2 linked regions of the Nothobranchius furzeri genome follow. The protein of the gene in region 1 purifies or fractionates together with the protein of each later gene. This does not show direct contact. Links are inferred from orthologs where the notes say so. Each region holds a gene or a part of one and is shown in the gene's direction. Other genes may lie near its edges.

The links.
Region 2: the proteins of exosc8 (region 1) and mphosph6 purify together in Homo sapiens (affinity purification with mass spectrometry; 4 studies listed by BioGRID and IntAct, counting the BioPlex papers as one, with this or other methods). This does not show direct contact. The link is inferred for Nothobranchius furzeri from reciprocal best matches to the Homo sapiens genes EXOSC8 and MPHOSPH6.

The regions. Positions count from the first base shown.
Region 1 is NC_091750.1:62,637,139-62,641,255, forward strand, and holds exosc8 (exosome complex component RRP43), read left to right. Parts: upstream 1-1,416; 5' UTR 1,417-1,481; coding exon 1,482-1,498; intron 1,499-1,761; coding exon 1,762-1,798; intron 1,799-1,895; coding exon 1,896-1,959; intron 1,960-2,144; coding exon 2,145-2,218; intron 2,219-2,292; coding exon 2,293-2,338; intron 2,339-2,472; coding exon 2,473-2,578; intron 2,579-2,661; coding exon 2,662-2,707; intron 2,708-2,781; coding exon 2,782-2,878; intron 2,879-2,958; coding exon 2,959-3,079; intron 3,080-3,167; coding exon 3,168-3,274; intron 3,275-3,396; coding exon 3,397-3,515; 3' UTR 3,516-3,616; downstream 3,617-4,117. UniProt on the Homo sapiens protein: Non-catalytic component of the RNA exosome complex which has 3'->5' exoribonuclease activity and participates in a multitude of cellular RNA processing and degradation events.
Region 2 is NC_091744.1:80,075,345-80,079,438, forward strand, and holds the start of mphosph6 (M-phase phosphoprotein 6), read left to right. Parts: upstream 1-1,292; 5' UTR 1,293-1,444; coding exon 1,445-1,492; intron 1,493-2,185; coding exon 2,186-2,298; intron 2,299-4,094. UniProt on the Homo sapiens protein: RNA-binding protein that associates with the RNA exosome complex. Involved in the 3'-processing of the 7S pre-RNA to the mature 5.8S rRNA and play a role in recruiting the RNA exosome complex to pre-rRNA; this function may include C1D.

The DNA.
Region 1 (4,117 bases):
CTGTTTTGTTTCATCCGACATCACGAGTTGCCAGTTCCTGCAGGGGAGGAGTGTGTATTGTGACAGTGTTTTTTTTTCTCAAAACCCAGCTTACTAACAGATTTGTTATAACAGCTTTGATAGAATAACAGAAGGTGAGTAATGCAAGAGAACTAAGTTATTTTCTACAGGGCTGCCAACTTGTGATGGTTTCCATGCACGAGGAGGTGTGTGAAAGGGGTCAGACACGTGTCTCACGCTCAATGGGAAGCTAAGTCACACCCATCTATTTCCGACCATGGGTCCCCAACAGGGCTGGACTGGGACAAAAAATCAGCCAGTTCGTTTTGAGCCGAGACCGGCCCACCAGCTAGTGAAGTTAAAAAGCAATGACGCCTATTTTTTACACCACCTCTCTAACCCTGGGCCTCGATATTCCATATCCATCATGTTTTACTTGTTTCCCTGCTCCAGCACAAAAACTGAGCTTATTTTGCTGCTTAACCCTTTGGTGCATAACGGTCACTACAGTGGACAGTTACTCAAAATTGTTATTTATTTATTTTTGCTATTAAGCACAGCTGTTGAAGACTTTATTGCATATGAGCCCTTCCATTTGGACTTCAGTAAGTCAAGCCACCATATTTCATGTTCAGAATGCACATTGTCCACTGAGATGGACATGTAATAAAGTATTTGTAAATTAACAAAATGGTACAAAAAATATTTGTTGAAATTTGTTTCATTCACACCTAAAGATGAATGAAAAAAATAGTTTAAAAAATCATGGTTGAAGATTTCATAATTCATGCATCAGAGGGTTAATGCAACAAAACATCAACAGACCAAGACAATCTTCAGATATCTAACTGCTCGTTTGAGGTTGAGTAAAGAAAACAGTAAAGCAGAAAATAATCAGAAAACCGAGTTGCCATGCATGCACTGCTCACACACACACACACACACACACACACACACACACACACACACACACACACACACACACACACACACACACACACACACACACACGCACGCACGCACGCACGCACACACACACACACACACACCAACATCAAAACACATGACTTGTTTAACAGTTTAATTTTGTATTTTAAAAGAATGATCCAAACCATTCTAACTAAAAAGTTCAGTTTGAAGACATAAGAGAATCCACAATTTTGCTCTGGATTGTTCGGTTAGGAAAGAGGAGTTTGTAAGGAATATTTATTCACTGTCAATTGTTTAAACACTACAATATTGTTTGTTTAGCAAATTAATATATCGAGTTTTATTTAATCTTTATTAATTGTGACCGGTTATCAATTTGAAAGTTTTATTGACCTTACAACACCAACTCATTTTTGAAAAAGACGAATTTGTTGGCCAGTTTTTCGTTCATTTCCGAACTCCAGTCCAGTTGGTGGCGGTAATGCACACTTGTCGTTGGTAATCACAGTTTCGTCGCGGCCACCGTAGTTCACGTGGGTAATCAAAACATCATGGCGGCTGGTTTCAAGTAAGTCATTTTTAACATGTATTTTTCTTTATATTCAGACTTTGATTTTCATCAAATATATATCATCGATATATTTAATGTTCAGTGTTATATCTAAATTTAGTTTGCTTGTCAAAAAATACAGAAACAACATTTCTGTGACGTCAGTTGGGCTAGTGACGGGATAGTACACTTTATTTGTTAGATTTATCGGTCTGCTGTTTATTGCAGGATCGCACGTGTTTGTTACTAATTTGTCTTATTTAATTTCTTTAAACTTTCAGGACGGCGGAGCCTCTGGAGTATCACAGGAGCTTTTTGGTTCGTCAAATACATACAAACTATACCCAGTAGAAACCCATAAATGTTATTATTATTGTTATTAGTGTCATTGTAATTGCAAATGCTTCATTTGCAGAAAGAAAATTGTAGACCTGATGGGCGGGAGTTGTCTGAATTTAGAAGTACAACCTTAAACATTGGTAAGAAAATAAATTAAATGTTTCCTCCCTGTAATAAAACATAATTTTAGATATGATGTAAATAAAATAATATGTACTTCTAATACAAAATGAGTCGGCTCATATTTTTTCAACTCCAACATTTTCCAGTGCCTAAAGGGCTGATCACTGCCAGCTGTAACAGTTTTTACTTATTTTCTGTTCAGGGTCTATTTCCACTGCAGACGGCTCCGCTCTGGTAAAGCTGGGAAACACCACGATCATCTGTGGCATCAAAGCGGTACTGGTGCACAATGACTCAAACCGCTACTGCTAAGATTTCTTTAGGTGTTAAAGTCATGTGTTCATATGCAGGAGCTGACTAACCCTACTGTGGATGCACCTGGTAAAGGTTACATAGGTAAGTTCTGAACACATTTTACAGCCTCCTTGTTTCCATCAGGTTTTCATTGCTTAATTCTTTATCTCGTATTTTCTGTTTGATTCTGTATTTTATTATGACATCATCATCTGTCTATATATGTTTTAAAAAAGTGCCCAATGTAGACCTGCCACCCCTGTGTTCGTCCCGCTTCCGACCAGGCCCACCAGGGGAACAGGCCCAGGCTGCCAGCCAGTTCATCGCTGATATCATTGAGAGGTGTGTTAAGCCTTCAAACACCTTTAGTTTCCAGCTGTAGTGTTTCTGCCACTGCTTTGACTTAACCTTCATGTGTCGTGCAGCTCTGAGGTGATCAAGAAAGAAGACTTGTGCATTGGCCGAGGAAAGGTGATTTTAGACTCATGTGTGGACTTTATTTGTTGTAATATATTCAATCATAATTCTGCTAAATCTTGTTGCAGCTCTGCTGGGTCCTCTACTGTGACATCATGTGTCTCGACTATGACGGGAACATCCTAGATGCTTGTGTTGTCGCCCTTCTGGCTGCCCTGAAAACCAGTAAGTAGGGTTGAGACTTTACTGAAACGGTGCATGTAATAAATAAAATAAATCTATCTTTTAGTAATCTTTCCCTGCAGCACAACTCCCAGAAGTCACCATCAACAAAGAGACGTCCGCCCCGGAGGTGAATTTTGAAAAGAAACACAAACTTAACATTCACCGACATCCAGTCAGCGTCTCCTTTTGCATCTTTGATGAGTACGTTTGTTTGATTTCAATTCAATTTTTATTTTAGGTACAAGTGCCATTTTGTTCTTCTTTAAGCCTTTTTGGTTTTCCTGTGCAGCTCCATACTGATCGTAGACCCCACCGCCGAGGAGGAGAGCCTGTCGACGGCACGCCTCACTGTGGTGATGGATGAGGAAGATCAGCTGTGCTCCTTACATAAACCAGGTCAGAGATGGCACATCTGTGATCTTTAGATTTGTGGTGCTTCTGCCATGAAATAAAGCTTCAGATTATTTTGAGTATTTTGAGAAAACGGGGATAAAAGGCTCTGCAAACTTTGCCTCCAGGTGGAACGCCACTGTCGGGAGAGAAGCTGCAGGAGTGCATCAAAAGAGCAACGGCACGAAAGGGAGAGATCCACAAACTTATTGAGAAAGTCATAAAAAGCATGAAGACAGCTCAATAAATACACTCAGACAACATTTTTTATCTAAAAGTTGTATTTTCCACTGTCAATATATATTCTTTTTTAATAACAATAAAACTGCTGACAAAGACTTAAAAAAATTATCTTTTCAGTGTCCAGAAATGTCTCACGCACACTTAGCTGATGTCTTAATTCATGTAAGAATATGCTCATGGCTCCTTGTTAAAAGGTAACACCTTTTGAAAATCTGCTGTACAAACGCACGCCGTCTTGCATGATGACTCTGAGTCCTCGCGTGAGCCCTGCGCCGGAATACTCCCCAAGATCAGATTTGCATTTTCACGTCGTGGACACGTGGACGGCTTGGTGTTGCTAATCTGTGCTTAAAGGGCAGCCTCATGCGAAATTCTCTTTAAAATGTCCTCTCACTCCACAGGGCCTCGGCAGAGAAAAGTCTTCCGAAAGTAGAAATATGTAACCGTGGAAGCTCGTTACCTACAAGACCCGTCTTCTTCTTGATCATCTGAAAAAAAATATCACCAAGGCTCTTAGAGCTTCGGGCTTCCTGCTGTAGAAACCAGTTCCCCCACAGTGGACAAAGGTTTGGTTTTCAGAAAACATCTGAGAACCAAATCATAAAA
Region 2 (4,094 bases), on another chromosome or scaffold:
GTTGACACAGAGCTGCTACGTAGTACTCTACTGGATTACGTAGTATCTTACTCTTTAGCCATTGGCTAAAATTTATTCAAAATGAGTCAAATTCTATGTTTTAAGCTGAAGGTGGAGCTATACTGTGGTATTTAGGCAGAATTTTTAATTTTTTAAGAAAATGCACCAAAATGCTAAAATAATGAATACACACATTTAAAACACTATTAGACACTCATTTATACAGTTCATCAGCAAAAAAAAGTTAATTTAGACGTTACTTGCTCTTTAAGTTTGATCAGAAGTTGCTATGTGTATTGTTTATTTGAAAACTATTTACAGAGCAGCCTCAGAGTTGAGATTAAATGTTTTTGATCACAATAGTAAAGGAACTATTACAGAACAAGTTTTTCAATAAAATCAGAACATTAATATTTAAGTGCATGAATTAAGAGAGAGAGAGAGAAAAAAAGATCTTTTCTATAGCGCCTCTCAAGATAAAAATCACAGGGCGCTTCACAAAAACAAAACATGTAAAATAGAAAAAAGAATTTAGAAAATGATTAAATTAAAATGAGCAAAAAATAGACAATTGTGATTAAAAATGTAAAGAAAGAGAGAGAGAGTGAATAGGAAAGAGGGAGTGGATCCTCCTCAGGAAGAGGAGAGAGAGAGAGGGGGGGGGAAAAAGAACCCCGACTGGAGTGGAAGCAGTGACATAAGAATTAAGTCACACAACGTTTTCCACAAATGCACACGTTCATTCGGAAAGCCACACTCTTGTGTTTCACAAATATAATTCGGAGGAACACAAATGCACAAGCTCATTCGGAAATTCACACTCTTTGACTCATAAATATAATGTGAAAAAATAAGTCACGCAACATTTTCCACAAATGCACACGCTAATTCTGAAGTTCACACTCTGTGGTTCACAAATATTATTTGTAAGAACACTTGTAATATAAACTCACAGATCATCCGAATTGCTGAACGTGCATTTACGAAAAGCTTCTCATTTGTGAACCTTTCTGCGTTTGTGAGTGAAATCTGTGCGCTGAATTTTGGGGGCTTGTCTCCAGCATGTGTTACCATGGTGAATGGGAGGGGCTTCAAGCTAGCCACATTGGTCTTTAAATTATTGTTGGCTAATGTGTTTCGGTTTAAACAAACAAACATATAAACTGAAATAATTTACACAAATTCATCTTCGAGTGTTTTCACGGTCATGTCCTTTTATCTTTCTAGAAAAGGTTAGATGACCAGGATCCAATTCGAACAGCTGCTCGTGTTTGATTCATCATCCTTAACATCGACCATGCATGCGCATCAATGTTCGATTGTTTCAGACTGTGGTGAGCGCTTAGCCCAGTGGCTAATGCTAAGTGCTGATTGTTAGATCTAAACGAGTTCGTTTGAATGAGTTCGGATTTACTTTAAATTAGTATAAATTAATCGGCACAATATGGCGGAAGATTCATTCAAACTGTCAAAAAACCTGCTGCGGATGAAGGTAAGCGTTAGCTGCTAGCTCTGCGCCGAACGTCATTGACTAAACAGAAATGAACGTTTGATGTGTGATAAGAAGACGCTAGTTTCCTCCCAGATGCTGACTCCAAGCAGCGTTTATCACCCTGAAACTGAACTTGAATTCGGGGTAAAGCAACGAGACGAAGCGGATTTAGGCGTGTTTCAGAGATGTATCTGATCTCTGTGAACCCGTGGAGGAGCGGGATGTGCCTCCTTCATCTGGACCACTCTGAACCAGGACCGAACCTGAGAGAAGATTCTACCAAAGTCCAAAAAAATCCGAACCACAGCTCACAAAAAGCCAGAGCTTCTGGTGCAATGATTAGAATCTTCACTCCCAACACGTCCTCCATCCTGAGCAGCACCACGCAACGTCCTACAGAATCAAGTCCAGGATGGACCGACTGGTTCTGGGAGACCTGGTGGCCGCCAGAGAGGAGCCTGGGAAGGGAAAGCTGTGCCTCTTGTTTTACTGTTAGAACCTCTAGGAAGGAACCAAACTTGCTGCTGCCTGAGAACCAGGAGTTGTGGGAAGAGAGAAGATTTCTGATGGAAGTCAACTTTAGAAGTTCTGGATCTTCCAGGAAGCTGATGATCTTGGCAGCATTGTTGTGGACCTGGCTAACGGTGGTTTTGGTTGGGTCCAGATTGAGTAAATGTGTGCTTTGTGTTTCAGTTTATGCAGAGGGGACTGGATGCTGAGACAAAGAAGCAGCTGGACGAAGACGAGAAGAGGATCATCAGTGATGAACACTGGCACCTGGACCTGCCGGAGCTCAAATCTAAAGAGTATGAGAACAGGAATCCCACTAGCCTGGCGAGCCACGACCCATAGACAGATCTAAATAATGGGGTGGGATCTACGTTTTTTTTTTTTTGTTTTCCAATAACATCCTGCCTACTTAGTGTTGCGATTGGTCCATGAAATCTATATAGCGCCATGATTGGACCACTACAGAACAGCAGCCATCTTTATTTGTAGTTTACCTGGCTGATACCTATGTTTGGACAGTTTCGAGCGGCAGCCATGTTTGTTTGCAGGGACATCCCTCCCACCTCGCTAAAAGAGCACTGTGATTGGCCCAACAAACCAGTAAAACACTGATTGGAATGCCACGGATGTCAGTCAACGGGGCAGCCCGCCGTTACATTAAAAAAAAAAGTAAAACAGCGCGCCAGCACTAGCCTGGCAAGCCAGACTAAATAAATGTATTATTTAGGCAGGATGTTGTCTGAAAACTCAAATTTTATTGATCCTATTTATCTTAATAATTCCCACAAAACTAGATGGTACTAGATTAGTAGTAAAAAGTATTGGTATTGGGCGGCAATACTAGCCCCTGTATTTACTTGGTATCGGATCGATACCAAATTTTGCAGTATCGTACAGCACTACTGACTAGTCGGCGGTCAGCCGCTCGTTTGAAATGGCTTTGGCGTCAAGTTTGGACTATTATGACTTTTTAGCTTTTGTTTGAGTCAAGATCAGATAGAAGTACTAACGTTTATTTAGGAAAAGGATGTGTTTTGCATCTTCTTTGACGGAGTTTGGTGGACTGCCTCGTTGACCGACATCTGTAGCGGTGAGTAAATCAATGCTTGCCAGGCTAGAAGAAACGGAATCGATACCATCACGCAGGTATCTAGTAAATACTCAATACCAACGTTAGATCGATACTATCGATATCTTAGCTCGATCCGCCCAGCCCTATTTGTCAGTTTTACTGCCTCGACGCTCCGCAGCTACAACATGGCCGCCGCCTCCTCTCTTTCCATTCAATGTTTCTGGTAGCAGCGGTAAACAAGGCTTTGAAGTATCGCGCAAATTCATTGTGACTCGAGACATGTGAGGTTTGTCTTATTTTACTTACTGCATTATGAAAGTAAACAGCGCGTGCACACACACACACACACACACACACGTTTATTTGTCAGGACGGCTCTCCTCCTCACTGCACCTTCGCTCGGCCAGTGCTTCTTCCCCGGCTCCTCGGGCCCCGCCGCCGCGCTGATTTGTTTTAAAGAAAAACAACCTCAAAAGTCATTAGATGGTTACAACCTGTCTGTGTCTGGTCATGTGGGGCCTTTCCCTTTTTTTATTCTGTCATGAGACTGTGGCCTAGTCCACACGTAGCCGGGGTTTTTTAAAAACGAATATCCGCCCCTCCAAAAACTTGCATCCACACCACCTCGTTTTAAAAACAAACTGTCCACACGTACCTGGATAAATACGTTGTTAAGGACATGCCAGACCTGTAGGCGGCAGTACTTTCCCCGTTCTTAACCTCGTCCTTCGTCTGTGGTCTTCCGCAAGGAGCAGTAATTCCTCTTGCAAAAACAAACAAGCAGAAAGCGCTTGGACAATTGATAAAGCGAGCGCAGCTCTGAGGGCATCCATGCTGTCGGCTAGTGTAAACACAGGTCGCACACGTGATGTCAGCATTGCTTTGTCGCAGAAAGTGACGTTGCGGACCTTAAAACTCCGGTTTTGTCCGTCCACACGCAGACACCCAACACGGAGAAAACGCACATCTTCACTTTGGCCGGAGTTTTTTTAAAAAGATCAGTTTTCGTGTGGATGACAG